Linked DNA regions of Alligator mississippiensis. The protein of the gene in region 3 binds, or shares a complex with, the protein of the main gene of each other region. Links are inferred from orthologs where the notes say so. Each region holds a gene or a part of one and is shown on either strand. Other genes may lie near its edges.

The links.
Region 1: EIF3G (region 3) and EIF3I share a complex: the UniProt entries of both Homo sapiens proteins name them as parts of the eukaryotic translation initiation factor 3 (eIF-3) complex. The link is inferred for Alligator mississippiensis from reciprocal best matches to the Homo sapiens genes EIF3G and EIF3I.
Region 2: EIF3G (region 3) and EIF3E share a complex: the UniProt entries of both Homo sapiens proteins name them as parts of the eukaryotic translation initiation factor 3 (eIF-3) complex. The link is inferred for Alligator mississippiensis from reciprocal best matches to the Homo sapiens genes EIF3G and EIF3E.
Region 4: EIF3G (region 3) and EIF3D share a complex: the UniProt entries of both Homo sapiens proteins name them as parts of the eukaryotic translation initiation factor 3 (eIF-3) complex. The link is inferred for Alligator mississippiensis from reciprocal best matches to the Homo sapiens genes EIF3G and EIF3D.

What each region holds. Positions count from the first base shown.
Region 1 is NC_081829.1:5,592,283-5,599,826, reverse strand, and holds the start of EIF3I (eukaryotic translation initiation factor 3 subunit I), read right to left. Parts: upstream 3,002-7,544; 5' UTR 2,923-3,001; coding exon 2,920-2,922; intron 2,832-2,919; coding exon 2,739-2,831; intron 2,406-2,738; coding exon 2,318-2,405; intron 1,768-2,317; coding exon 1,702-1,767; intron 967-1,701; coding exon 817-966; intron 708-816; coding exon 580-707; intron 372-579; coding exon 261-371; intron 1-260. Other genes in the region: TMEM234 (transmembrane protein 234), read left to right, coding at 3,024-3,036, 3,246-3,397, 3,824-3,890, 4,165-4,257, 5,657-5,733. UniProt on the Homo sapiens protein: Component of the eukaryotic translation initiation factor 3 (eIF-3) complex, which is required for several steps in the initiation of protein synthesis.
Region 2 is NC_081826.1:32,216,025-32,222,864, reverse strand, and holds the start of EIF3E (eukaryotic translation initiation factor 3 subunit E), read right to left. Parts: upstream 3,011-6,840; 5' UTR 2,984-3,010; coding exon 2,894-2,983; intron 1-2,893. UniProt on the Homo sapiens protein: Component of the eukaryotic translation initiation factor 3 (eIF-3) complex, which is required for several steps in the initiation of protein synthesis.
Region 3 is NC_081831.1:22,141,901-22,149,540, forward strand, and holds the start of EIF3G (eukaryotic translation initiation factor 3 subunit G), read right to left. Parts: upstream 3,012-7,640; 5' UTR 2,919-3,011; coding exon 2,899-2,918; intron 2,727-2,898; coding exon 2,677-2,726; intron 1,987-2,676; coding exon 1,867-1,986; intron 1,774-1,866; coding exon 1,685-1,773; intron 1,438-1,684; coding exon 1,378-1,437; intron 1,050-1,377; coding exon 945-1,049; intron 816-944; coding exon 626-815; intron 542-625; coding exon 434-541; intron 258-433; coding exon 121-257; intron 45-120; coding exon 1-44. Other genes in the region: DNMT1 (DNA (cytosine-5)-methyltransferase 1), read right to left, coding at 4,619-4,756, 5,334-5,450, 5,703-5,866, 6,062-6,257, 6,394-6,571, 6,773-6,939, 7,164-7,305. UniProt on the Homo sapiens protein: RNA-binding component of the eukaryotic translation initiation factor 3 (eIF-3) complex, which is required for several steps in the initiation of protein synthesis.
Region 4 is NC_081827.1:100,926,521-100,933,759, reverse strand, and holds the start of EIF3D (eukaryotic translation initiation factor 3 subunit D), read right to left. Parts: upstream 3,005-7,239; 5' UTR 2,897-3,004; intron 1,430-2,896; 5' UTR 1,419-1,429; coding exon 1,296-1,418; intron 902-1,295; coding exon 856-901; intron 462-855; coding exon 325-461; intron 224-324; coding exon 138-223; intron 1-137. UniProt on the Homo sapiens protein: mRNA cap-binding component of the eukaryotic translation initiation factor 3 (eIF-3) complex, a complex required for several steps in the initiation of protein synthesis of a specialized repertoire of mRNAs.

The DNA.
Region 1 (7,544 bases), on a different chromosome or scaffold from region 3:
CAGCACACAGTGCCCCTCTCCACCTCAGCTCTGAAACCACTGCATGATTGCCTCTGCCTGTCCATCTAGCCCAGGCAGCCCTCTCCTTACAGGGCTGTTCCCACTAAGCAGACATTTGCTTTGGTGTAAAAGAAGCTTGGGTCCATGGTTACCCACAAGTTTCTAGAGAGAAGCCTCAAACAGTGGAAGGGAAAAAGAAGTCGAGATGGCCATTTCCCTCAGCGTCCTAGAGCCACTGGGTGGGCCAAGAGAGGTCTCACCTTGGCTGTGTTGTCCTTGGAGGCAGTGATAAACATGGTCATGTCCCGTGAGGTCTGGATGTCGTTGATCTGCTTGGTGTGCTCTTTGACATTTGTGAGCTGCTCCCCTGACTGGGACCAGACACAGCAAAATTAATGATCACCCTCCACCAGCACCAGAGCACCCCAGGTGCACATACTTTCCCCAGCCATCATACTCCAGTGCCCCTTGCCCACACCTGCACCACGGCTCACAAAAGTCCAGCTCATATGCCGTGGGATGCCCACCATATGGCCCTCTTCCCTGCCCTCAGACAGTCCTGCTCTGCATCACACTCACCTTGGCACTAAACTGGTTCAACTCTCCATTCTCGTGCCCTGCAATGATGAATTCCCCCAGAGGGCCCCACACAGCACTGGTGATTTTCGACTCGCTGCATGGGATTTTCATGTAAGGCTCATCGTTCTCTGGGGAAGGAAGGAGTGGCTCAGGCACAACGCTGCCAACTGAACTGCTGACAGAAGGTGCCATCAGAGCCTCCCCACCCCCACAAAGGCATCTGCCCAGGCTCCATACCAATCTGGCTGGAGTCCCGCAGGTCAAAGAAGCTCACAAAGCACTGATATCCCATCTGCTTGTCCGTGGAGAACATGATGATGTTTCCTCCAAAATCAAACCCGCAGGTTCTCACAGCGGAGCTGGTCTTCACTAGGGCAAGCTGTTTTCCTAGACACAGGGCAAAGTCTCAGTGGACAGCTCCAGACCACCACATTGTGAGTTTCACACCATTAATTTCACCATTCACCAAGCAAAGACAGGAAACTAGAACAGGGTGCAGTCAGCAGCTTTAACTACCTGTAAGTCGTTTAATGCAAGTTCCAGTCTATTCTCACTGCTCAAGTCCCCACTGATTAGTGAGCTAGCACAGCAAGTGATGTTTTGGGCTCTGAAGAGGGTCTCGCAGCAGTCTCCCAAGTTGGTAAACAAGCACCTTAATGCTTCACTACAGGTCAGAGAAGCATGCTCTGTGGGCCTCCGCCCAAATGCTTTTACTCAAAAAGGATGACACCATTTCAGCTACTGCAATATCATTCATGAAATGCACACAAGAAAGAATTTCTTTTAAGCTGCTGGATGAATTACACACTCACAAAGCAAGGACCGACCCTTCTGGTCAGAGATAAAGTGCAAGTTCCCCCAACACAAGCATCACCTCAGCACCAATTCCAGGCTGAAGACATCAAATCAGATCAGTGTGGAAAGTGAAGAGGGCAAAAATACTTCTTAGTGGGCAGGAATCAGAACACGAGCACACCCTTCCGTGAGCGGCCTCAGGCAAACTGAAACGTGCCTTTGCTGAAGTGAGAAGCCAACACATTACCCTGCTGCTCCCCAGCTCACGGACTCAGCTGTGCTCTGATGAAAGGCTTGAAAGATCCTCTCCCCAACAGCTTGTCTTACCTGTTTCACAGTCCCAGAGCCGGCAGGAGTTGTCTGCAGAGCCTGTAAGCACATGCCTCGTGTCCCCTGAACCATTAGTTAAGGAACGTCAACAAAGCCTTACTCCCCACCCCTCAAAGGAGCCAACATTCACATATTAGAGTAGGACACAGACACACGCACACAGCACTGTAAGAGTTTCAGTGCACGCATCAGGAATGCGACACATGCGTGTTAAGTAACTTTCATTCCACGACGCTGCGGCCAGATATTTGTGCCACGAGAACCAGGCTCCTCTCATATTCAGACAAGCTTTTGCTTTGCATTTATTAACTACCGTCTGCAGCGGCAAGAGAAGATCGCTTTGCAACGATCTTCCAGGAACCCCAGCTTCACCAGCAGCCTGAGTACGTTGTATCATCCTGCAGCGGTGAAGGGTAAGTGTGGCTGGGGCACAACGGCGCACAGACCATTTCCCGTTTCAAAGGAAGGGGGGAAAAATCCAGCAGAGAGTAAAGGAAAGAGTCTGATACCAGGTTGGACAAGGATCACTTGTACCGTAGCCCCCCCCGACCCCAACGACGGCACTGGAGAAGAACCTGAAGACGCCAGACAGGCCGTGGGAACCAAAGGATACAGTCCGCATCCACACACCAGACGGCTCCCGTGTGACCGTTGTAAGTGCCGAGCCTCTCTCCGTTGACCGAGTACCAAACGTTGACAATCTGGAGGAACGACAGAAGCAAACCGAGCGTCCGCTTTACCTGACGTTGCCGGGTACGCGAACCCCGCTTAGCGTCACATGCGAAACTGCATGGAGGATCTCGAGGCTCGCGCCGCAGCACGCACGAATGCGAGAGGCGGGTTATCGCAGCTGGGAGGAACCGAGGAACGGGGACTGTAGACGCGAGATGCCGGGTTACAACGACTGTGAAGCAGGCAGGGAGGGGGCCTGGTGTTGGGTGGAAACCATACACGTGTCCCGGGCGGGGATGAAGCGCCCCGGGCTGGGCAGAGCGGCGTTTTGGGCGGGGGAGGGGAGGGGCGGACACACTCACGGGGTCCTTGGCGACGGTGAAGAGCAGGTCTCCCTCGCGGTTGTACTTGAGCTGCGTGATGGAGCGCTCGTGGCCCTGCAGCAGGATCGGCTTCTGCGGGGACAGCGCGGGTCAGCCCCGAGCCCCGCCCGCCTCCCCTCCCCCACACCGACACCGACACCGACACCCCGCGCGCACCCACCATGGCGGCGGCGCTCCCACACCAGCGCGCAGGGCGGAAGAGGAAGAGCGGCAACCGCTTCCGGGTCAGAGCGCTCGGAGGCCGGAAGTAGAGGCGGCGTTGCCATGGCCCCGCTGGGTAAGCTTCCCGCTTCCGGTCCCCTCGGGCACATACGACCCCGGGCGCGTGGGGGGCGGGGGCACCTTAGAGCCCGACGTTGAGGACGTGACCGACCTGCCCCTCCGCGGCGGGGGCCGAGGGGCAGTAATAAAGCACTGGAGGGGGGGCATCCGTATGGCGGGGCACGGATCCCCCCTGACCCGCCGCGGTCGCTGGTCACGTTGCAGGGGACGTGCCCGTGCTCGTCCTCGTGGCTGTTCTGTGGGGAGGGACCAACCCCTTCCTGAGGACGGGCACGGAGGGGCTGGAGAAGGTGAAGCGGGAGACCCGGCTGCTGCAGCTGCTCGCAGAAATGAGATTCCTGCTCCTCAACTACAAGGTAGGGCGCTGGCGCTGGCCCCGGCCGCGCGTTGAATGGCTGCGACCTGCGCTGAGGTTTTACCGCGCGTTTTCCTGGCCGCGTCGCCCGTTTGATTTTTTGTGACATCTCGTTTAGCTCGCGCGGGGCGCTGCGTTTCCTCCGAGGACTTCCCAGCGCGTGGCAGCTCTTCGTGAACTCCCCCCTCTCCTCAGAAACGATCGCGAGCCCCCATTACTGACTAGGAAAACAGAGGGGAACGTATCGCATTGACAGGGATTCAGCGGCACGGCCCTGCGACCGAAACGCTGGACCTGCTGCTCCCTTTCAGATCAAACTGGCTCTCGCCCCTTTCGTGGATCCCCGGCGCCCGTCCTTACATGATCCCGTCCTGTGTTTACCCTCATTTCTTCTGTAGTGACTTGACACGTTGTGCTCTCCTTGCAGTATATGGTGCCACTTGCATTTAACCAGTGTGGATCTGTACTCTACTACGTCACATTGGCATCGGCAGGTCAGTGGTTGCTCTCCCCTTTCCAGGGCGGCGGGAGGGTTGAGACGATGGGAAGAGAGTTTGCAAAAAGCACAGGCTGGCGCTCCAGGCGAGAGAGGTCGGCTGGGCGTATTGCAACAGCAGCAGGGATGTCCGTTATAATGCTGAGCGTGAGTTTTACAGCATTGTTAGTGTTTAAGCTGTGTGTACGCCCTTGTTAAAGACTTACCTGGCACATACACCAGTAATTACTACGCTCCAGGTCAATGCGTTAATATTACCCGTTCCATTTCAGACCTCTCGCTGGCAGTTCCTCTCTGTAACTCTCTGGCTCTGATCGTCACCCTAATAACCGGAAAGGTCCTTGGGGAAGACATCGGTGGTAAAAGTAAGTCACGCCTCAGTCCTTTTATAGATGCACTCTGCACACATTTGACTCCATGCCCTGAATCTTTGTAGTGGCTTGGTTCAGCACAGTCTTCTAGGTAAATCATAATCCAAGGAGCGGACATTAGGGGTAGTTAAATAATTCACCGTGTGCTGGGTTGGGGATGGATTTAGTGAGCTCCCCTCCCTTAGCTGTGGGGCAATGATTTGGCTAATCCTAGTCTATCATGGATAGCATAGCACCGCTCCGTGCTATTTTCGGCAACTGTTGTCAGACTGAGACTTGAAACCAGAAGCAGGACAACTCTGCTATGGGTCACTTGCTATCGCTACACTAAGAAGTAGTGTGTTACCCCACAGTAGATAACATGGTTCTGGGGGTCTCTCAGGGGAGGAAGCTACTCAGTTGCAAACATGATCATCCTTTACGATGAACTGGACTCTTCACATTGTGGGGAGGGAAGGTGAGTTTCACTGAAGGAGTCCTGTCCTGCCAAGTTCAAGTCACAGGGAGTTGAGGGCTCCTAGTACCTCGGGTTTGGGCTTTCATGGGATAAGATATAAGGGATGTATAACAGAACTAACAATTGCTCTGGTACAAGAAAGGGATGTTTCCTGCACACCTAAAACACCAATGAAGAGTCTTTATTCCCATCTGAGTCCATAGAGCAACATCAGTGCAGACCAGTTCCCTTCATAAAGACACTACAAGCTTGGGAATATTAGCTACTGCTTGGAAATTGCTAATAGCTACCAATAAGCCCATGCCAACAGCTGCATTTGTATTTAAACAGAGCTGTTGCTAGCACAGCAGTAATGCAGTCTCCCTGACTGGGAAAAAGGGTTCTTGTCTGTCCTAAGAAGTATGATGCAGTTCACCACAGCATATTTGCTCTCCATAGCACAGTTCTGGCAAGGCAGCTCACAGACAAAATGCCTGCACAGCAGTGGAGGGAGCCTCTCTTAGAATCTGCTTTCAACAATGCTGAAGTCCTATCTGGTATTAGTTTAGTCTGATCCCATCCAGATTTTACACTGTGATCTCCAGAACATCTCGGACTCTGAGGACATGACCTGATGGACTTGTCCTGAAGTTTATCATAAAATCATAGAAAAGTAGGGCTGGAAAGGACCTCCAGGGCTCATCTAGTCAAACCCCTGCCTGAGGCATGATCACCCATGCACCCCCTGCCCCAGTCTGCACCTATCTGGCCATGGGGAAAAATTCCTTTCTGACCCCAATTTGGTGACTGGTCTGACCCTGAGCAGAAAGGCAAGACCCTTTAGGCCAGGAGCCTCCAGCTTTGGTCCCAACAGGAGTATTGGCACACCCCAGTCAACGTCCCCAAGCTTTCTGAGTTCAAAGGAGTTAATTTTTCTTTTGCATGTCTTTTCCCTAGGGGCCATGGTAGGAATGCTGCTCACTGTCTTAGGGGTCACCCTCTGTATAGCTGGTTCTGTGAATGAGAAGCAGTGAGATATTGAGAGAGAGAGAGAGAAGAAAAGAACATGCAGAAGATGATGCTTGTATTTGGGAACTGGTACCCTACCCTCCCTGAACCAGCACTGAGCGGCACAGTCCAGGTTTGGGCCCTTTTGGAGGCTGACTGTTGAGAAGTGAGCTTTTCTAGCTGGATTCTCTTTGTCTTCATTGTTCCGTGACACCAAGCCTAGAATACTTGGCTTTTGAGACCTCTGTAAACAGCCGTGTCTTGCTTTTCTTCAGCCCTCCATCCTGGTGTCTAGAACTCTGGCATTGTGGGAAGCTTGTGAAATAATCTGCATTTACTCTGTTGCACTAATTGAGGCACTGGCATTTCAAAACCCAGGCAAAGTGGGTGGCAATCACAAAGAGGTTATTGTGTAGAGTCAACACCTGGGTTTCACTGTTAACAAGTTGTCTCCTTACAAGATAGTGTGTTTTTATTAAAAAAAAAAAAAATCAAAATATTTTAACTCTTAATTAGATGACTCACTGACTTAGGAACAGAGAAAATGTTCCATCCGGTTCACTTAGCAGAGGTAGCTGCAGCTCAGCCCTGCGCGCCTCCCCCTCAGTTAAATTGCAACCTTAGAGTATTTTTGGGGTCATCAAGACTGAAATAAACTCAGTGGTTCCTGCTTTAACTCCTCCTGGGTTGTCTCAGAACATCTCTTTGCATCTCCCTCGCACTGGAAGCTCTCTTGGACAGGAACGGTTGTGAGATGGTCTTGTTCAGCGTTCAACACAATGTCGATTGCTAAGTCCCCTGAGCTTGTCAGAAGTGAGACTATCTGTTAAAAATATCCTCTGTTTCATTAGAACCCTGACTGATTTCTGAGCTGCAGGGATGGTTGGGGGGCCTCTGATGGGAGCATAGTGTGAAAGGATAATGAATCACATTATATTGAGTGACTTTCTCCATCAGCTCAGAAAATAGTACCAGCAGCATCCAAGTGGAACTGTTCTCCATGAGACAGTGTTGCATAAAGGCAGTAACGGGCTATTTTCTCAGTGGCATTCTACCTCAGGGGCTTGTGTCAGATCACAACACAGTAACAAAGTGGACATACCTCAAGTACAACAGTTCTTACAGCCATCATAATTTCAGTTCTCTTCCTAAAGGTGCTTATCATCAGACACTCAGTCCCGCCTTCCTCAGGTGTCCAAAACTCCTAGTTGTGACTAGTTGCATTAAGGACTGAATACAATCCATTCCAGCCCAAGGAGTGGATACATCAGACTAGGAAAAGCTTTTCTGCCTTTATGTGTTATCAGGAAAGGAAATATATTGCTTGGGTGACTCTGGGGTTAATAAACTAGCTATTTATTTTTATATAAAGAGGTTTCCTTGATTTAGGTTGACGCTTTTTAAGAACAAGAAGAATGAGCCTTCTGGGACTAGATTTGTTATAATGCTCATCTAACAACAGTCAAATGCAGCGGTAGAAATTAACCAGGCCTGAGCACAAAAGAGCCACAAAATCATTTTAAACACAGGATCTATAATATGGAGAACATTTCCTGGCAGACATTTCAGTAAAGAAGACTTAGAACTATTATTTACAGTAAAAATAAAATAAAAATCCCAGTTCAGACAGACCAATTCCTTGACTACTGAAGCTTATAACTGTAGGCCCAACATTTCCACCTCCTCCCTCAAATCAAACATTTTAGAGAGAAGGGAGACAAGTGTTTGTGTTCAAAGAACAAGGACCTGACTTATTGTTCATGTTCCAAAACCCTTATAGTCAAGGCACTTAGTTTCAGACATGGTACTTGAACCTGTCCCCAGATTGGGCAGTGGT
Region 2 (6,840 bases), on a different chromosome or scaffold from region 3:
CTGCGGCTGCACGTGCACGAGGCATTTATTGGTGGAATTATTGACCACATCAGCCAAAAAAAGCCGACGGCCAGTGCCAATCCAATATGGGACCAAAGTATCAGTGCACCTCTAAACTTTTCTTTTATGCACTTCCCATCAATGGCCCCACCAAGTCCCAGGGCCTCCTGATCAACCTGCTCCTGGCTCTAGCTAAGCTAGCCATGTAACAGATCAGGAAGAAGTCTCTGGCTGGGGGGAACCCAAGTGACTTTGGGATTGTCTTCTTATCCCTTACCATCCATGTCTCCAGGCAGTTTCACTGGGTAGAGTCCGCTGGCTCCCTGGACTTGAGGGTCAGTAGGTGCTGGCCAGCATGCTTACTTGGTGTCCCCCAGTGGATTACTCATAAACCTGACCCACACTGATGTCCCTGTATTTTCTTTAGTTGTCCCAAGTAATCAACTGTTCCCTGATTAAGGGAGGCTTATAGTTCCCTTGGTGGGCCTAGGTCAACATTCCTCTGGGCATAACAAAAAGGCCTGTCTCCAACAGTGACAAAAGTGGAAGCTAGAGGAAGAACATTGAATTGGTCAGATGTACAATAATTTGTTCTCTATCTATTACATTCCCTGACACACCATTATTGGTTTAGAGATGCCAAAGGAAACACCTCCAATTCTTCTGCTCAAAGCTGTTACTAGATCTATCATCCATGCATTTCATAGAATCATGGAAAATTAGGGTTGGAAGGGACCTCAGGAGGTCATCTAGTCCAACCCCCTGCTCAAAGCAGGACCACCCCCAACTAGATTATTCCAGCCAGGGCTTCATCAAGCCCAGTCTTTAAATTCTTCAAGGATGGAGACTCCACCACCTCTCTAGGGAACCTGTTCCAGTGATTCACCACCCTCCTTGTGAGAAAGTTTTTCTTAATATCCAGCCTAAACCTCCCTTGCTGTGACTTGAGACCATTGCTCCTTGTTCTGTCACATGTCACCACTGAGAATAGCCTAGCTTCATCCTCTTTTAAACCTCCCTTCAGGCAGTTAAAGGCTGCTATCAAATCCCCCCTCACTTCTCTTATCATGCCATCCATCTCTAACACCTGTAGCAATGAATTTCAGCAAGTTAACTACTTGTTGTGTAAATACTTTCTCTTGGTAATTTTAAATCTGTCTTCTACTAGTTTCAGTGGGTGCCCCCTAGTTGTAGTATTCTGGGACTTGGTGAACAATAGTTCCCTGTTAACTTGATCCGGCCCTTTCATGATTTTATTAACCTCTATCATACCCTCTCCTCACCAAACTGAAGAGTCCTAGCCTTCTTAATCTCTCCTGGTAAAGCAACTGCTGCATACCTCTGATCATTTTGGTTGATCTTCTTTGTACCTTTGCTAATTCTACTACATCCTTTTTGAGATACAAAGACCAAAACTGTATAGTATTCAAAAACTGGGTGCACTATGGATTTGTATGAATAGTGTGCTGTGATGAATGTGTTCTCCATTTTTTTTTTTAATACCTTCCTTAATAATGTCCAACCTTTTATTGGGTTTTTTGTTGCTGCTACACACTAAGCTAGCATTTTTGAAGAACCATCTACAAGGACTCCAGAGTCTCCTTTCCGACTCACAACAACTAGTACAGAAACCAGTATTGTGTACGTATAGTTGAGGTTATTTATCCCCAGGTGCATTACCCTGCACTTCCCAAAACAGCCCTCAACTACTTTACCGCTAGTAGGAGTGTATAATTTGGCTCATTATTACCTTCTTTGTTGAAGATGTAATGTTATATGCAGTACTCAGTACAGTTAAATGATGACAAGTCTGTTTAACAAAGAATATTGGGCTAGATAGCCTTTAAAATTATATCTGGTCTGATAATTTGCCCTCGGTAAGTACCAACAGGCCAAAACACTGAACATTTTGAGGAGTCCAACAAGGAAAATAGTGAACTAATTTTAATTTGGAAGTAAAGGCATTTTTGGCTATAGTCATTCAGAAGATGGGGACTTCCATAAAAGTAAAGAAACCACCATTCAAGGACTAGCACGAGTAGGTTAAGACCTGCCCAATAAGAATATATAATAATATAATACACTCAAAAGAGCTGACGAGTCAATGAGACCATCTAGGGAAGTTGTATGGAGACCAGTAAACTTTGCAATCTTTAAATCGACAATTTAAACACAACAAGAAGTTAAACGGAGCTGACTGCCCAGTCACCGGGTGTACGGCAGCTTTACTGACAGCAACCGGCTCTCAAGCTTTTTGAACTCAACATAACACTTGTGAACTGACTGGCACCCAACTGCAAAAACAAGGGTACCGATTACCCCCATCACTTCCTTGCCAAGGGTCCTGGCAAGAGGATCATCCAGGCAAGGACAAGCCTGAGCCTGGGTTTATTCATCTGCTTATCACCTCACACCTCAGGGAACCCCCCCAAAAAGAGGCATCAGCACCCTAGTGTGCCCCAGCACCTGTGGCCTGAGGGCCACGGGCTTACAGCCATGCAGTGGCTGTGTGTCTAATGCACCCCACACTCCCGCGATGGAGAAGTCTGTATCCCGGATCACCGCATCTGTAGAAGAGCCTGCCAGGAGCGACAGGCCCCCCGGGGGCCGCGCGGCGGAAGGGAAGCAGGGCCAGGCTCCCACAAGCAGCTGGAAACAAATGGCAGGGCCCGCGGAGGACGTGGCCTTCCCAGGGTTGGGCGGCAGCCGCGCTCCGGGTTTACTGCAAACGGCCGCAGGCGCCTGGGGAAGAAGGGGCGGGAATCACCCCTCCCCCCCCGGCCCAACACCCACGAGGCCCCGCGGCCTCCGCTGCCTTTCCCGGCTGCCCCGCGGGCCGCGCCGCGTATGCGGGGTGACGGGCTGGCCCCGGGCTCCCGCGCCGCCATCTCACCTCCTTCACGGACAGGAACTCGAGCAGCGGGAAGACCAGGTGCCGGTCCAAGAAGTGCGCGATGCGGGTGGTCAAGTCGTACTCCGCCATCTTGCGAGGGGAAAGGGGCGGAAGCGCCGGCGCGTGACGCAGAGACGCGCCGTCAGGAAGCGGCCAGGAGCGCGCGTGCGCACACGGGTGCCTGGCGCCAGCTAGGGGGCGGGGCCAGGGGCGCGCGTGCGTACACGGGTGCCCGGCGCCAGCTAGGAGGCGGGGCCAGGGGCGAGCATGCGCAGGCGGGCGCCTGAGGGCAAAGGGGCGTGGCTTGTGCTGCCCTTAGCCTCCCTCTGCTCTGCTTTGCTCAAAGGTTGGAGTGGGACGCGCACGTGGCGGGGTGGGGGAGAGGTGGCAGGCACTTCTTCTCGGCGGCTCGGGCGGGATCTGTACGGTCATCCCGCGTGAAATGCTTCGAGTTGGCTGACCCAGGCCTCCCGCACTCACTGGCTACTTGTAGTGAACGAAATAAAGTGAAAAAAGACTTCCGTGCCTACTTGCTTGCCTATTTTTTTCAGCCTACGATAGTTTTTCAGCAAATAGGATCATTTCATATTTAAGAGCTGACCACGCTAGGCGGGAACATCCTTGCTCCCAGAAGAGAGTTGCCAACCATGGGCGACTGGTGCCACTTTGGGGGGAGGGGGGCACGTGCCCCACCTGCAACCAGTCCCTCTGACCAGGGGTGGTCTCCCCGCAGCCAATCTTGCTGCCAGGGGGCTGGGAGTGGGGAGAATGGAGTTCCCTTTTAAGCATCTAACAAAAAATAATATCCAAGCTATAGCAAGTTACAAAATAAATAATGACATTCGTAAACCTTCTGTACTTGAGTTGAACTGCTGTCATAGCCTTTCCCATCATGCTTGACTTCCTGACAGAGGTATCATCATCTCCAAGTAATGTAAAAAACCTTAAATGTCATGTTAGGGAAGAAGGATGGCCAATTGGTAAAGGTCCTGGCCTGAAACCTGCAAGACTGGTTCAATTCCCTGTCTTGCCACTGACATCCTGTGTGATCTTGAGTTGACTTACAGAGGGACCCATGGTAGCATGCCTATCATGGGTTCCATCAAGGAGACTTTCAGTGCCAGTGACAGGAAAAATACATTGTTACGGTGCATGTGATGTGAATGAAGTTTCATTTTTGTAGCAGATTTTTAGATTTTAATGTAATTTTTCCCTTTTATACATTAGAAATAGGGATTTATCCAGATATCTGTGCGGGTATTAATAGTTAATTGATAAGGTGCTAGTCGGTAGCATTCAAATGTGCAGCATAGCTTTTTAGATGTATATAACCATAGGACTTCTTATTGGGCACTGCTGATGGCTCTTGTGTACCCAGTTCTTTATAGTCCCAGCCTCTCCAGTCAGAAAGAGGGTAAGAGAATGATGAAGCAGAGCCCAGGGGTCCTTTGCTGATGACATACAAAGGGAAGCAGACAGAGAGCTGTCCCCCATTGCTAAATTGAGACACTGGGAAATTAAAATCATTCTACCCCTAATCCTCCAAGTCTATGGGGTGATGGGGAATAATATAGATTTCAGATTGATTTCAAGAAGGTGTGAACCAGGGAATGTAAGCAGACCCAGCGAAGTGCAACACGGCTACCAGCAACTTTCAACAACTTTGTAATATGCTTGCATGATCCAGTAGGATAGACATACCTTAGAGAAGTTTCACTCATTCCTTTGTGATTATGACTTTGGCATCCTACATTATTAATTCCTACTTGTTATGAGGCAACATGAGCTGTGGTGATATCACTACATAGGTAACACCAAGCTTGCCGTCTCTTCCAGTTCTGATCCAGATGCTACTATATAGCCTGTTCTGCCCAGCGCCTGGTGGAAATTGGAAACTGAATAAAAATCACATTAAAACTAACCTGAAGTGCCCAAAAGTTTGTCCAACAGCTCTCCCAACTATACAGCTGGTCCAAAAAAAGCTGGTCCAAAAAAAGACATCGCAGAAAAATCCTTGTCTATCAAAACTAACATGAGAAGCAATTCTAACTGGTAGGGACAAAGAGCTTTGGGGGTTTATAGGAGTGATATTGTAGCCATGATGGTCCAGGAATTATGAATTATGCAAGAAGCAAGGGTTTTTGTGGGTGATATCTTTTATTGGACTAGCTTCATGGTTGGGACAGACTTAGACAAACTTTCAAAGAATGTTTCACATTCAAGAGCTTATCTAAGTCTTTCCCAATCATGAAGTCAATCCAATAAAAGATACAACTGACAAAAAAACCCTTGAGGATCTATTGACTTCTATAAATAGTCCATCAATTCGTGGTGTCTGCCCAGTCATTTCTACAATGGGCAACAACTTGAGAAACTTACTATTGCACTTCTTACAGCTTCTAGCCTTGAAGGTTACATCCTCCATCAGAACAATATTTTCCACCTTCAGCTTATCAAGGAATTTCTGTACTGCCTGTAACATAATTATTCCTCCTTGATTATCCACAACATCCTTATGACCATTTATCTGGCCTGTTGCATTGGACTCTATTGAGGAAAATCTGTGAAAGCCACTTGGTAGCTAATCTAGACTGTCCTCCTGGTTGCAGTGAAACAACATAAGCACAGCATACTCACACTCTGCTTCTGAAATTCAGGGTACCATTTACTTCTTAAAAAGTCCTACCTAGACTACATCTAGGTCACTTTTATGCCTACCCCACTATCTCCAAATGACTGTAACTTATGCTTGATTGCAGCTCGGTACGCTAAAGATACCATGCTCCTGGATGCTGAAAAGTCAGAACATTCTTTTTGTTAGGCCTATAACTGTGGAGCTTGCTTTTTCTGGAAAAGTGCTTCTGCCTGAACCTCATTTATAAAGAGTTATGCCAAAGCTATCCCAACTAGTTAAAAGATTATGTAATATATGTAGTGATCTTTGGGTTCAAAGAACTAACAACAACATTTAATTGTGGAGCAATGAGCAACCTCTACAGACCCTTTGTCTCTCTCTCTCACTAACTAGCATAACTAAGGGACAATTTCCCAATGTCCAACTTCAGTAGTCTTCTAAGTAAAGGAGTGTCTCTAAATTACAAATGTTCATATCTGGCTGACTAAATTAAAAGACTGTGGCAGCAGGAGATCACAGTAGATCTACTGGGTCCATTAATGACTTAATGTAACCATTATAAAGGGACTCGGATATCACAATAAATAGCTTCCCAAACATTAATATAACAATAATGAAAAGCAGACATGGAGTTTAGAAAGGGAGGTACTGAAGCAAGAAGAAAGGAAGGAAGTTATGTTTATAATAAAAATGTTTTATGTATTGGAGGAGTATCTATCTTCCTGAATTTTTTTTCATTATGATAAATTACTTGGCATTTGACCTTATAGTTTATCCATTCTGAAACTAGATGATTGCCTTATAAAATGCAGATCCTTATTACTTCCAGTTAATTTCTGCAGCTGCATGGGTACCAGGCAACAAAAGAAAAGAAAAGACAATAAACTGTTGCAAAGGGGTGGTTTCCACCCTCTAAAAAATATTAGAAAGGCATACCTGATGAACAACTAAAATGTCAGGATTCATAGCATGAAAATACCAGGTCACTGTGCTTAACATATGTGACATCAAACCAGGCATCAAATTGAGAGGCACTAACAATCATTGTTGAAAATCAGCTAACCTGAAAAAGGAAGGGTGAAGGCAACCTTTTTCCTAAACATTCAGCACTCACTATTCAACACTTCTGATAAACTTATGAATTACATGATTTTTAATTTCAAGATTTAAAGTGAAATGGCTGGGCTGCATCCAGTAGAAACTCCTACAGCTGCATGTAGATGACCCAGAGAGATTCATGATAGAATACTACAAGGTATGTCAGTGTTGAAATATCCTACGTGCTCACTGTGTGAAAATATGCCAATGAGTC
Region 3 (7,640 bases):
CGGGCGGCATCCTCCCGCCGGTGGAAGCTGATGAAGGCAAAGCCCTGGGTGAAAAGCCCATGGTTAGAGCTGAACTGAGCCAAGCCCTTCCCTACCACCCCAGAGGGCCTCTTGCTGCACCTTGGACTGCCCAGTGGCCTTGTCCTTAGCCAGATAGATCCTGGAAATGGAGCCGAAAGGGCGGAACAGCTCCTGCAGATCCGTCTCGCGTGTGTCTTCAGACAGGTTAGTGACACGGATGGTGGCATTGTCATCAGCTGCAAAGAGAGGAGAGTCAGGGCCAGGCCCAGGCGATGGGAATGAGCCCCCAGGACAGAGTTTCCCTGCTGGGCAAAGAACTGCCAGGATGGAGCTCAAACCGAGGCAGGAAGCAGGACCCAGGCATCCGAGTCAGGGCCAGGAGGGGCCCATAGGTCTGATTACCAGGACTTACCCCTGCGGTTGGGTTGCATGGACTCCCCACGGCGGCAGGCCCCATCCCTCAGGCTGGGTGGGACATACTTCCCCGTCTTGCTCTGTGCTGCCTGCACTGGCTCTGGCTCTACAAGGGCAGGGAAGCAAAGTTAGAAGAGCCCAGAGCCTCTGGGACCCGAACCCCTAAACCCCACTGCCCCCACCCCCAAACCTCCAGGCAGCTTCTCCTTCTCGCCAGTGGACAGCCCCAGCTGCTCAGCCAGTTCCTTCTGCATAGGCCCCAGTGTGTCTTTGTAGGGGCAACGTGTGGTCCAATGGTCGCCCTTGCAGATGCGGCATGATACAATCTTCTGGCCCTTCAGCTTGTTCATGGGGTCTTCCTCCTCTTGGCAGTTCAGGTCCTGCAGCAGGCGTGGGGGAATCAGCATTGGAACTACTCCTCTGCAGGGAGCTCCCAAGCCCCCACCAGAGCAGCTGGATGCCCATGGTCCCTCCCCCTGCCCTAGGACCCCACCCCAACCCTTACTCACCTCCTTGCTAGTGATGAAAGTCATGAAGACATCGTCGCTCACAGTTGTTGTGGCGATGCTGGGGCCAGGCGCATCAAATTCTGAGTTGCCAAACTTCTTCCAGTTCTGGGAGAGGCAGGCAGGGGAGGTGTCAAGCTGGGAAATCCTTCCACCTCATCCCACCCAGCTAACTGGGAGACTGGGCAGAAGTGCCCCCTGGTGGCATCTGTTAAATGTAACAGGCTCAACCCAAACCAGAAGCAGCCCTGGGCGTGGGGGCAGAGATGCCACCAAAAAGGGAGGAAATGGACATGGACAGATGTGGGAGGGAAAAGGGAGCAAGGCAGGACAAGCAGCTTGGGTATGTGAAAGGCCCAGTCCCGTCTCATTCCAACCCTCCAATGCCCACCCCCTCCATTTTAACCCCTCTTGCCCCAGCAAGGAGCCCACTCACCTTGCGGCGGGCCACGGCCTTAGAAGCCTTCCTAGTCTCAATACGGAAGGTACGGATGATCTGAGGGAGAAAGACCCCATCACTCACCATATGAGAAATGAGGGGGGTAGCATTCACCCCAAGGACACAGGGAGTGCCCCACCAGCATGACTGCCCCCACATGCAGGATACAGGAGCAGTGGACACAAGGGCCACGACCCATCACACACTTTCTAACATGCCCCTCATGGCTCAGGCTGGGGGAATCTTGCCCCAGCCAGGGAAAAAGTCCCCAAGACAGCCCCAGCCTAACCCCTCCAGCACTCACCTTCACCTTGCGCCCATCCTCCTCCTCACGGTACTCAGTGATAGTTTTGATGTTCCCATTGATTAGCTCCTTTGGGGATGGAAGAGGACCTAAGGGGACAGGGCAGGCAGTGAGATGACTGGATCCATGGGGCTCCCTGGGGCAGTGCCCAATCCCCACTCCTCAGCCAGCCTGGCTCTTACCATCTTTCAGCAGCTCTGACTCGGCCTTGGCCTCTGCCTCAGCAACACTGGCACCCAGGTCCCCACCCAGCACCGCAGTGAGGGGGATGTCCTTGAGCAGCTCGCTGGTGATGCATTTGTCTGGGGAAGAGGAGCAGGGCTAGACCTTGCTAGTCAGTCACTTATTGGGGGAAGGAACAGGGAACTCTTATGGGCTAGGGCCAGGGTGCCACAATGCTACCCAGCGCCAGGTGTGCTCATGCCCCATCCCTGGAGATCCTACAGGGTGCCACTGCAATAACAGGAACTCTTAGCTCTGTGGGGCTTGGGGTGCCCTAGTAACAGGATCTACCCCCCCTACCCCCCCAGGTCTCAACAAGCTACAAAAATGCAGGCTGCCCAGGAAATAAGTTGGAGGGAAGCAGAGAGTGGGTCTGAGGGGAGGGGATTATCACCCCCCAGCAGGTCACCTGTACTGTGGGACCACCACCAGATCAGATAAGGGGCCTGGGGTGGGGGCTGTGTGTTGTGGGGGCAAGGGTTCTTGCCCTGTCACAGGGACGGGCCATGAGCCAGGGCAGGGGCAGGCACCCAGCTTCCTCGATGGGCCTTAGAGCAACACACGGGCCCTTGGGCTAGGCTGGAACCTGACCAGCACTAGGAGACTGCGAGGCCAGATGCAAAGGAGCCGGGGATCCCAATGACCGAAGGTGTCTGCTGGGGGAGGGGGAGGTGGAGTCGGCCCACAGCCCCGTGGGGGGGTCCGCGCCGGGGGGAGGAGAATGTGCGGGGGGAAAGGGAGGGGAGTCCAGCCCGGGTGCAGCCTCTCACCGTCGTCGCCTCCCTCCTCCTCCACTTGGTCGGCCCAGCTAGGCTTCGAGCTGCGGGAGCGAGAGTTAGAGCCGCGCGGACACGATCCTCCGGCCTCCCCGCTCCCACCCCATACTAGGCCACCGCACCCCCCACATCTCCCTCAACCCCCAGCCCCTCCCTCATTTCCGCCCCAGGCCCAACCCCGGACCCCGGGCCCAGCCCGCACCCCGCCCGTCTCACTCGTAGTCTCCCGTCGGCATCGCGCGCCCTGTGCAGCAGCAGCAGCAATAGCCGCCGCCGAACGCCTCGCGCCACAAACCGGAAGCAGAAGGGCCTCACCAGCGAGCACTGCCCACGCTCCTAGAGAGGCCGGAAGGAGATAGGGGAGGAATCACCGCGGCAGCCTTGGGAGCTGAGGGGCCTGCAGGAACTGCCGGATTCTCGCAGTGCGCTCTGGGAAGTGTAGTCCTGAAGGATCTCACGCTTACTAGCATCCGACCCCGGGGTCGCAATGCATTCTGGGAACTGGAGCACCGCACCCGGGCCACGCTGCATACTGGGAGCTGTAGTTCTCTCCCCCGCGCGTTGGCAGGCCTCGTGGTCAGGCCAGGTTCCGCCCCAGCTTCAGCCCACGTGAATGTTATTTTCCACGGCACGAAAGGGTTAAAGGGGGGTGGGGGCAGGCTCAGGGCCCAGCCAGCACAAACCAGGAGCCGGGGCTACTGGGAACCTCAGGAGGCAACTGCAGCCCAGGGCAGAGCTAGAGCCAGGCCCGGGGCAACAGCTGGAACCACCCCGAGGTGCAGGCAAGTCCTGACCCCTGCAGAGGATTTTTTAAGGGGTTCTGAAAGAGGGCATCGTGCCTAGAACGGGAAGTGTCATCGGATCCCTGCGTAAGTTCACTGTGCACTCAGTTCTTGTCCCAGCACCTCAAATACGAGATAGAAGGGCAGTAAGCATGAGAGGTCTGGAGGGACTGCGTTGTGAGGGCAGACTCAGGAGGCTAGGCCTGCTCACTTGGGGGGGGGGGGGGGTGTACTGGGATCATCTTCAGCAGACAGAAACAAGGGGTCACAATGCGAAACGAGCCGCTTGCAAGTTTAAAACTAACAAGTACTTTTCCACCCAACATGTCATGAAAGGGTGGGACTTGTTGCCAACACATGCAGCAGAAGCTGACAGTTTAGCTGAGCTTCACAAGGGGCGATATCCTTGGAGGAAAGGGGCATTGATCGCTATTGAACCCAAGAGCAACTGGCACAGCCTCTGAATCAGACCTTCCTGGACCTTAATGCTGGAGGCTACAAGAAAGCAACAGTGGAAAAAGACCCTGGTCAGACCTGCTCACCCCCACCTTCCAGCCTTTGCTTGCTGTATGACAGGATACTGGGTAAGATGGACCTGTGGTCTGACCCAGTAAACAGCAGTTATGTTCTTATAGAGACTTGGGGGTGGTTTTGCCCTGCACCCTGCAAGAGCTGGAGGAACATCCCTTCTGCTAGCAGCTCCATGGCACCCACTATGGCCAGAAAGGAGGTTGTAGCCCAGAAGCTGTCTTCAGCAGCACAGCCTAGAGCCAGCATTGCCCCCCAACTTGGAGTCAGGCCCCAGCCTCCTCCACAGGGCTGGGAGATGCTGAGAAAAACCAGGGGGGGAGAGAAGAAGAGAGCTCTCCCCAGCATGTAATTTATAGGAGAGATTTATTTGAAGAAATATTACAACATATAAAAACTACATAAAGTATTAATTTCCACTTGTATAAAGTGGTCGATTATTTTCAATACAAGGCATAATAAAAACATCATCCTTTAAATCCAGAATGCACAGGAGGCGGGGCGGGGGGGGCACTGCACAGCTGATCACTAAAATGATGATTAGTTGAGAACGCAACTGTCACAGACAGCCCTTGAGCTTGGCCGGGGAGACGAACACTGCTCACGGGTACAGCTGAACAACAGACTCAGCATGTCGGACCAAAACAAGGAACAGAACAAAACGAAACAAAAATCAGTGCATGTTTGGGAGTCCTGGAGCTGGAGAAGGAGATGGGAGGGCAAGTGTCAGTCCGCAATTTCCATCTTCTCCACTTTGCTGCTCTCTGTGGAAAGAGGTCAGGCCAGTGAGGCAGCAGGTGAGGCCTGGGCATGGCCACCACCAGGGACTGGCTCTGGTGCCAGCCAGCCCCCCTAACCCCTCAAGCCTGGAGTTTGAAAAGTCTTTCCTCTGGTCTGGGGCTTCTAAGGGACCTGTAATTTTGTGGGCAGACCTGGAAGCTACAGTCCTGCCCTCAGAGAACATGGACAGCAGCTGCAAAGTTTTATGGCCACCCACCCAAGCCCGGGGGCCACCCACCCAAGCCCAGGGGTGTTCCCCCTCAACCCAGTGCTGCATGTACCCATGGCTTCCTCTTTCATCTTGGCCAACCGGCACATCTTGATCTCCAGTCCGATGGCCTTGGCTAGTGGTGGAGGCACTGCATTACCAACCTGTAAAGAGGAATGTGGGACTGTGAGCTCACCCACACCCTGCCCTGCCTGCAGTTCTGGTGCCTGAGGCTGCTGCAGCAGCAGCTCAGCTGTCCTAGTGTCAGTAGCCACTCGGCAACTGTGTCCCTGACAACCTTTGCAGGGGGCAGGGGCACAACACCGTGGGGAGGGAGAATCTGAGGCACCCACCTGTCTGTGCTTGTCAAGGATGTTCCCGAACAGTCTGTAGGTGTCAGGAAAGCCCTGGGACCGTGCACACTCCCGCACGCTCACCACGCGGTGCTGCTCAGGGTGTAGCACACGGCCCTGTGGGGGGATGGGAGACAGGGGTCAGCCACAAGGCAGGCAGCCCTGGAGCCAGGGCTGTGGAGGAGAGGTACTGCACCTTGCCCAGCAGCACCTGCCCCTGTGCAAATTGCCCTGTGGTCACCCCAGGGCAAGGGCCAAGGCCTGGAGGCCTCCTGCTGCATTCATGGGCCATGGAAGGGCAATTCTCAGCCCCACAGGGACTACATCCGTCTCTCCCACCCTTGCTTGCCCAGGTACCACCATACGCACCTGCTTGCCCATGGGTTCGGGGTTGGTGACCGTGGTGCTGAAGAAGCCATCCCACTCAAGGCGCCCATACAGCCCGGCCCAGTGATTGTGCCTGTTGCCCGTGTGGGGCAGACACCAAGGGATGAGCGTGTTGAACTGCCGGTCCGCAGAGTCACAAGGCTTCCCTGGGAGGTGGAAAAGCAGCACATACTTGGGTTGGGCTACCTAAGGCAGAGGGCACAGACACCTGCAGAAAACCAGGGAGTAGCCCTTGTCCCTGCCAAGCAGCCTCTAAGCCAAGATAGGCCTCCTGCACCTGCCCCTAAGCCAAGATGGGCATGGGGCCAGAGCCCCGTCTGCTTTTTGCCCACCCCCAGTACCTTCGGCACAGGAGCAGACACCCCGCAGTGCGCCGGTGCTGCTGCGCCCATTCTTCCTCTCGTGGTGCGTGTAGCGCAGCTTGCGGGTGCTGGTGCCGTCCGACAGCCGTACCTCGATGTTGGGCAGGTCACGCCAGTCTGAGCCAGGTGCCAGGGGGATGTGCCTCATTCGAGCTGCTACCAGTGCACTCATGTCCTGCAGCAGCGAGTTCGAGCCCCGTTACCTCCCTGCAGCCTGACACTAGCTGCCCAGCACCATCCCACACAGGGCTTCTGGTCTGAGTGACCCCCAGACACTGCCCCACAACCACAGCTACCCAAAAAGTCCTCACCTTGCAGATGTGGTCCCTGAGGATGGGCTGATATTGAGAGCCCCGGATCTGCCGCTGGAACCAGGACTGGGGCTCCCCATTGTATGAGATCTCTAGTGCTGAGGCCCCGTTCCTGATCTCGGGCAGGTCAGACATGGTGTCCCGGACCGTGATGGTGCGGAAGGGGCCAGAGTACGTCCTGTGGCGGAGGGGTTGAGGGGCCAGTCAGGCAACCAGTCATGGCCTAACTGCCCTCAGCCCCACAACTCTGACTTGGGGAAGGTGCCATGCTATGGACCTGCCATGCCCTTCCCTGGATATCCAGGGAAATCAGGAGCATCTGCACTGGTTCCATGGGCCCCATCCCACTCCACCCGCCCCCATGGCTACCCACATTCACCTGGTGATATTGCTCACAAACTTCTTGTCATCCACCACAACACTGAGCTGGCAGGCACGGGGCGCAAACACATGCAGTGGCTCAGGGAACATAGGCAGCTTCTCTCCGGGGGCCGCAGCCAAGACAATGGCTCTCCGGCGCGTCTGGGCCACACCATACTGGCCGGCCTGTGGGGAGGGGGCATCCAGAGCCAGCTCCAGCAGGGCATTGGGCTCTTCCACCCCTACACATCACACCCACTCACCCCCTAGGGAAGCAGGTGCCTGAGTGGACACATGACATCTCCACCCAAGCCTACGCCCCAAGCAGAAGGGCCTCGAACCTGACAGAGCCTCTACCCAGGGCAGCCTCATGGAGCCCTGCCAGTGCTGCTCAGGCCCCAGACTCCTACCTGCAGCACGCCGAAGGTGCACTGGTAGCCCATGCGCACGAGGCAGCGTAGCGTGAGCTTGAGCACCATGGAGCGCTTGAAGGAAACAAAGTTGCGCACATTCTCCAGCAGGAAGAAGCGGGGCCGGTAGTAGTCACAGTAGCTGTAGGGACAGGTGGGAGCAGGGACAGTGCAGCAGGGAGACTGGGCCGGGACCCATGACCAGTGAGTAGCCTCACCTGCCCCCACACCCTGCCACCCCCCAAGCACCTCTGGGCTCATACAGTGCCAGGGACCCTTACAACACCAAGGGGTCCAGCTCAGTTGTTATACAGGAGGCCCCAGGGCGGTGCTAGGCCATGGGTGCAATGTGCAGGGGCTAGGGCCATGGGGCTCTCCCCAGGCCAAGCTCTCATGTCACATGGACCTTCCCGTGCTGCAGACTCAGATGCACTGCTGGCAGCTGTGCTGGGACTGCGAGGGACATGCTACATCTGT
Region 4 (7,239 bases), on a different chromosome or scaffold from region 3:
GGGGTTTAAAGGCTTGGAGAACTTTTTTGTTACCTATTAGGCCTATTGAGCTGTGGTGTAATTCAACTGACAGCAGCCAAGTAGTGCAACTAGAAGCTCTGCTACAGTCAGGGAATGTTTGTGTTTGAGGCCCTCACCTCTCCTTCTGCTTGGCACTTTTAGGCAGCGTCTGCATGTTGAATTGAAGCATATTCCGACGGTCCTTGTCTCTCCGAAGGTTCCTCTGAGAATATTGAGGAGGAAAAAGACATTCAAGTTATAAATGCAATCTTTACAGCAACTCCATTCCTCTTCCAAAAGGGTCCAGTGAACAGGCACCGTTACCTGTGCAAACCGCATACGATTCCTTTGGTATGGTGTTTTCTGTGTCCGCGCAGTGTCCACCAGCTGGAAGCTCGTCTCATCTTCCTCATGGAAATATGCATACTGGCTTCCCCCACCAAACTGTGATGAATACTTATCTAGGGAGAAAAAAACGTGATGCAAGATCAGCTTTTGTCTGTCTGCAAAGTATTCTTCTGGGAAAGTCAGAGCTTCTATCCCCCTGCCAAATGCTTGTCCCAATTTGAGACCTGACCTGGAACTTTTCATTTAGAGAAGCACACCCTCCTGACTTCTCTGAAAAATGCCATACTGAGGGAGCTATGAACATTTGCTCTGAGATCAAGACACTTCTCGCACTAGGGGACAGATGCAGAATACAGGTTTCCTATATACCACTGGAACAAGTAATGATGGTGGCAACAGGGATGACAGTGGGGAAGTGTGGGGGGGGGGGAGAGGAGGAACCTCCCCAAAAAACCCACCATATATGAAGTATCTCAGAGAGGAACAGCTACCGAACTCAGAACTTACTTGTGTATCGCTTGTCCTGATACGTCGCTCCTGTCCAGTCTGCAACCTAATCAAAAAGAAAAACAGAAACAAGAGTAGTGATGGTATCAACCACACCTCCCACACACAGGACACTAGGGTCTCTTAATATAGGTGCCACTCAGTGAGAACACGCAGAACTAGAACTTCATGCTCAGAGCCTGCTGCACATTCACCTCAACTATCAGTTCCTTCAAACTCCCTGTGCTGCCTGCAAATACTGTCAAGAGTTCACAGATGTCCTAGCAGGAGCGCTGCAAAGTTGGTACACTTACAACAGTGGGTAAGGAGTGTGTAGAGCTGCATGAGGAGAAGCTTTATATGGAAAAGTGCACGGCCCAGACAAGGGTTAGAATGGCAGCAGGAAAGAACTGCCTTAACTGACCGCTTCAGTGACTCAATCTGACAATAAGCTGCGGTACCTTTCCCAGACGATCTCCTTTGCTGAAGGGCTGATACGGCATGTCTCGGAACTGTTCAGGCACAGCACATGGACCCCAACCTGAGGGGTTGTCCTGGATCACGGGTGTCACAAATTTGGCCATCTTCTAAAATCCTTGGGAAAAAAAAAAGTGGAACGAACAGTCAAGTGTCAGGAGTATTTTAGTTTTACAAGACTGAAAATGAGGCTGCTGGGAAACTTCAACTGATAAGGCATTTATACCATACTTTTTTGCATTGTGAAGCACGAGAGACCCAGTATGTCAGAGTAAGACTATTTCTGCTCCACACGAGCTGACATGCACAGTGCTGCATCGCGTGTGGTTGTATAAGTGGCAGTGCATGCAGAGAAAGTGGCAGTGGTGCGCTTTTGAACTAGAACACTTTTGATGTGCTTTAGTTCAAAGGTGCACCACCACCATTTTCTCAGCACTGATGCACATTTCGCCATTTATACAAATGCACGCACTGCAGTACCAGTGTGTGCAAGCATGTGTACAAATGCCCATAATGACTAGGTCAGCAGTTCTGAACTGGGGGTACATATACCACCAGAGATTACGTGAAGCCTCATCAGGGGGTACATGAGATATATTGCATACACTGTGTAACATAGGGCGAAAAATTAATTTCCCACTGAAAGGGGGTACATGAAGTCTCACTCTGAGACCACAGGGTATGTCAAATGAAAAAGGTTCAGAACCGCTGGACTAGGTGATGACACCATACCACTCAAAAAAGCAAGTAGTGGACGCCAAAAGTCAGGGTGGCAAACCTATGGCCTGTGGGTCTTAGACTGGCCCTTCATGCTGCATGTGGAGCTGGTCTGGTGTGCACACTGCACCCAGTACTGTGGATGATCATGGCATGGGGTGATCAGTCTGGGCCGCAAGCTGCACATTATGCCTGTGCTCAAGGCTGTCTGGTGGGGCACTGCATGCAGCAGGCACCCGCCAGGCCACCCTGTGTGTCAGTTCCAGTGTGCGCCGCCAGCCTGGCTGGCCTTGGAGCGAACACACAAGGCTGGTCTGGTGGAGCACCACATATAGGGCACACCCTACCAGGCCCTGCTTGCACTGGTCACTGCCCCACAGTGGGCACTGAGAGCACTCTGCACATGATGCCCGACCCAGCCCACAGACCCTCCCTGGGCACACTCCAACATCCCATCATTTTTCTTTTAACAAGCCCAACCTCGCAGAGGCAGCTGGCCAGGATTAGCCTCGCTGCACACTATGGGTTGCTCAGGATGGTCTCTGGCTCCTTGACAACACCACCAGCCGGGGACTGACAGGCCCCACACGAGCCTCCTGGCCTGCTTTGGCCCGCGCCCGGGAAAGCTGCAGCGACAGCCCCAGGCGACGGTCAGGTATGGGCAGCCCTTCCTGCGGCCGAGGGACACCCACCGGAGCCTCCCGGGACTTTTTCTGCCCCATGTCCCCCGGCTCCCGCGGGCCAGGCCGGGCAGCGCGCGGGGAGGAGGGGGCCTGCACCGCAGCCTGGGGCCAGGCGAGAGGGCCGCGGATGCGGGGCCCCCGGGGCGGGCCCGTCCCGGCCGCAGCCCCCGCGCGACTCCGCTCACCTGCGCGGCGCGCGCCAGCCCGGATGGAAGCGGATGCGGACGCGGCGGACCCGGGCCCTGGCTGCTACCAGGAAGAGAACCCGCGTGCAGCCCCGCCCCGCGTCGCGCCCCTGGTACGTCATCGCTCTACGCCGGCCGCCCGGCTGTTGCAAAAGGTATGGGATGCCGCAAAGCACGTCCGGAAGTGTCGCAAGCGGCATCGCCTGCGCATTCGAGCCGGAAACTACTGGGGGCGGGGTAGGAACAGGTTCGTCATCCACCTTCCCACAAGGCTTTGCTTCCCCCCCCACTCCTCGGTTATCACAGAATGTGCTGTAGTGTTGCCAACGCTCATGATTTTTAGTGTTATTCTAAAAGTCGATCCTTTGGGAATTTGAAAATCTTAGCTCTTTCATGTATACGTATATAGCGCTAAAATATGATATATAATAATATATATTATATTTATATATATGTATGAATGAGAATGATAAAATTGATATAGTTTCATAGGTAGAGTCAGAAGGGACCTGAAGAGATCATCTAGTCCGACCCCCTGACATGGCAGGGAAGAGCACTGGGGTCAAACGACCCCAGCCAGATGTTCATCCAGCCTCCTCTTAAAGACCCCCAGGGTAGGAGCCAGCACCACTTCTCTTGGAAGTTGGTTCCAGGTCCTAGCTGCCCTGACAGTGAAATAACGCCTTCTAATGTCTAGCCTGAAACTACCCTCCCCTAGCTTGTGTCGGTTGTTTCTTGCAACTCCCAGGAGTGCTGGGGGGAACAAGGACTCCCCCAATGCCTGCTGGTCCCCCTCGACTAGTTTGTAGACTGCTGCTAGATCCCCCCTCAGCCTTCTCTTGTGGAGGCTGAACAGGTTCAGGTCCCGTAGCCTCTCCTCGTAGGGCCTGTCCTGCTGCCCCCTGGTCACGCGGGTGGCCCTCCTCTGGACCCTCTACATGTTGTCCACATCCCTCCTGAAGTGCGGCGCCCAGAACTGGATGCAGTACTCCAACTGCGGCCTGACCAGTGTCGCATAGAGAGGGAGGATCACCTCCTTGGCCCTGCTTGAGATGCATCTGTGGATGCACAACAAGGTATGGTTGGCCTTCCTGACTGCGTCCCCCCACGTTCATTGTGGCATCAATGATGACTCCAAGATCCTTCTCTGTCTCAACACTGGCAAGAAGGGAGTTCCCCAGCCTCTAGGTGTGCCACTGGTTCTTCCTCCCCAGGTGTATTACCCTGCACTTGTCAGAGTTGAACCCCATCCTGTTCTCAACAGCCCACCCCTGGAACCTGTCTAGATCTGCTTGCAGCCTGTTCCTTCCTACTAGCGTACCCACTTCACCCCACATGTTAGTGTCATCTGCAAACTTGAACAGGGTGCTTTCTACCCCCTCGCCCAAGTCACTGATGAAGATGTTGAATAGTGCGGGCCCGAGGACCAAGCCCTGGGGAACCCCACTGCCCACATCCCTCCAGGTCGAATAAGACCCGTCCACCACCACTCTCTGGGTGCAGCCCTCCAGCCAGTTAATGACCCATCTGACCATGTAGGCATCAACACCACTGTCTCCTAGTTTCTCACTGAGAATGGGGTGAGAGACTGTGTTGAAGGCCTTCCTGAAGTCCAGAAAGACTATATCCACTGTGACACCTGCATCCAAGGACTTGGTGACCTGGTCATAGAAGGCCACCAGGTTGGTTTGACAAGACCTGCCCCTAATGAACCCATGCTGGTTGCCCCTGAGTATAACTTCCCCTGCTGGCCCTTCTTGGACATGTGCCAGGATAATTCATTTGAAAAGCTTCCCCAGGACCGAGGTAAGACTCATGGGCCTATAGTTTCCTGGGTCCTCCTTCCTCCCTTTTTTGAAGATGGGTACCACATTGGCCCTTTTCCAGTCCTCTGGCACATCGCCCGAGCGCCATGAGTACTCGTAGAGCTGTGCCAGAGGTCCCGCAATGACCCCTACTAGTTCCTTCAGCACTCTGGGGTGGAGATCATCAGGACCTGCAGATTTAAATACATCTAGTCCCTCCAGAAGTTCCCTGACAAGGTCCTCATTAACCCTAGGCCTAGGTGTGCCACCCACAGGGCCCTTGGGGGGGGCCAGTGGGGGAGATATCTGGGTCCCTTCTCAGAAATACAGAGGCAAAGAGATTGTTGAATATGTCAGCTTTACCGTCAGGTGAGATGACCAGATTTCCTAGCGTGTCCTGCAGAGGCCCCACATTGCTTGGCACCTTCTTTTGCCCCCCTATGTATTTGAAAAAGGACTTTCATAGATTCATAGATGTTAGGGTCAGAAGGGACCTCAATAGATCATCGAGTCCGACCCCCTACATAGGCAGGAAAGAGTGCTGGGTCTAGATGATCCCAGCTAGATGCATATCCAACCTCCTCTTGAAGACCCCCAGGGTAGGGGAGAGCACCACCTCCCTTGGGAGCCCGTTCCAGACCTTGGCCACTCTAACTGTGAAGAAGTTCTTCCTAATGCCTAGTCTAAATCTGCTCTCTGCTAGCTTGTGGCCATTATTTCTTGTAACCCCTGGGGGCGCCTTGGTGAATAAAACCTCACCAATTCCCTTCTGTGCCCCCGTGATGAACTTGTTGTCCTTCATCTGGGTTGCTAGTACCAGCTCCATTTCCGTCTTGGCCTTCCTGACCGCCCCCCCTACATTCCTGAGCTACTGAGGTATAGCCCTCTCTTGTGATGGCCCCTCCCTTCCAACGGGTGTACGGCTCCTTTTTTGTTCGGAGATGTTCCCGGATGCTTTTGGTGAGCCATGGGGACCTTTGTGCCCTCTTGTCCCCTTTGATTCATGTAGGGATTACTTCCCTTTGAGCTTGAGAAAGAGATATAAGTAAAAGAAGGAGCTAAGGTTGTCAAATTCCCAAAGTGTCGGCTTTAAGAACAACGCCAACAATCATGAGAGTTGGCAACACTGGCGCTGGGTGGTGCCCTGCATGGCTTAGCTCTGATGGCATCCCACAATGCCTCGTGGCTCCTCCAGCATCCCACAATGCACCATGGGCTGAGTGAGCTAAGCACCCCAGGGGTGCTGCAGGCAAGGCTGCGCTGGGGGCTTTCAGTTCCCCCTAGGCGCAGGCCCTCCTCCCCCTGCCTGCAGCCCTCTGGACTGGTGGTGCCTGGATTACCTGTGCCAGCAGGCGATGGGGTTGCGTGGAAAAGTCCATCTCACTGTCCTAGCACAATAAAGGCACCAGCCAGCCCTCCTTTACCTCTAGCGTCTTTCCCAGATGCCCCACAGCCGCTGCCTGACTCCAACAGTGATTGTCCTGTAGGTGCTGCTGCAGCACCTTGGGGTGCCAAGAAATCCTTTCAGGGGTGCTGTAGGATGCCGTGCACCCCTGGTACCATTAGGCATCTCAGGTTGACCCAAAGGTTTCCCACAGGAATGCTGAGGGTTAGAAATGTTTGGGCCTGTTGCAGTCTCCCTCAGTTTTTTGCAACATGATTGCTCTTCTACTTTACTGTAGTAAAAAATTGAGTGAAAACCAAGTTGGCATTTTCCACGGGGTGCCTCCAGTCTAAAAAAAATGAGTTCTACTGCCCCGACACAGAAGCCCATTGCTTGATGCAAGTCCGTAACTCTTTTTATGCTGTTTTGTCATGCTGTTCTCGTATCCTCGGTCAGACCAACAGCCTTTCCTGAGATCCTCCTTTCTCTCCTCCACATTCCCTGCTTAAAGACAAATAGATAAGGATGAGAGGGACCCTGGCTTTTTGTAATGTTCTGGTCATCAACGTGCCATTGTTTATGGTCTCTTGAGAGATTCGACACAGTACCTGGTCACTTAATTTGTTCCATCCGAGTTTACCAAGACTGCTTATTTTTTTCTTGATAGCATTCAGGCAACAATGCTGAGAGATGTGAATGTATTGCAACTACATGTGGGAATGTTATTTTCTGTTGAATTTGCCAACGAATGAACATGAGAACTACCATTTACAGGAAACCCTTGCTATTTGTGGGTTCAAATATTCGTGAATGCCGAACCCGCATCTTAAATACACTTAAAGGAGCTCCTCGGGAGCTCCACACTTGCTGCCACCATCAGTGCAGCCATGCCCCCCACCAGCCGCGTGGGTACTGTGTTCATTAACATAGATGTTCAAGAACATATCCCCCACAAATGGCAAGGGTCTCCTGTATTGAGTCAGATCATAGGTCCATCTTGCCTAGTATCCTGTGTCCCACCATCGCAGAAAGTGGATGCTTGAAAGGGAGAGTGTACGGGGTATGACCTCAGTTTATCCCCTGTTCCTCTCCTACTTGCAGCCTCCAGCATTTATAAAGTCCAGGAAGTTCTGATTCAGAGGGTGTACCCCTAA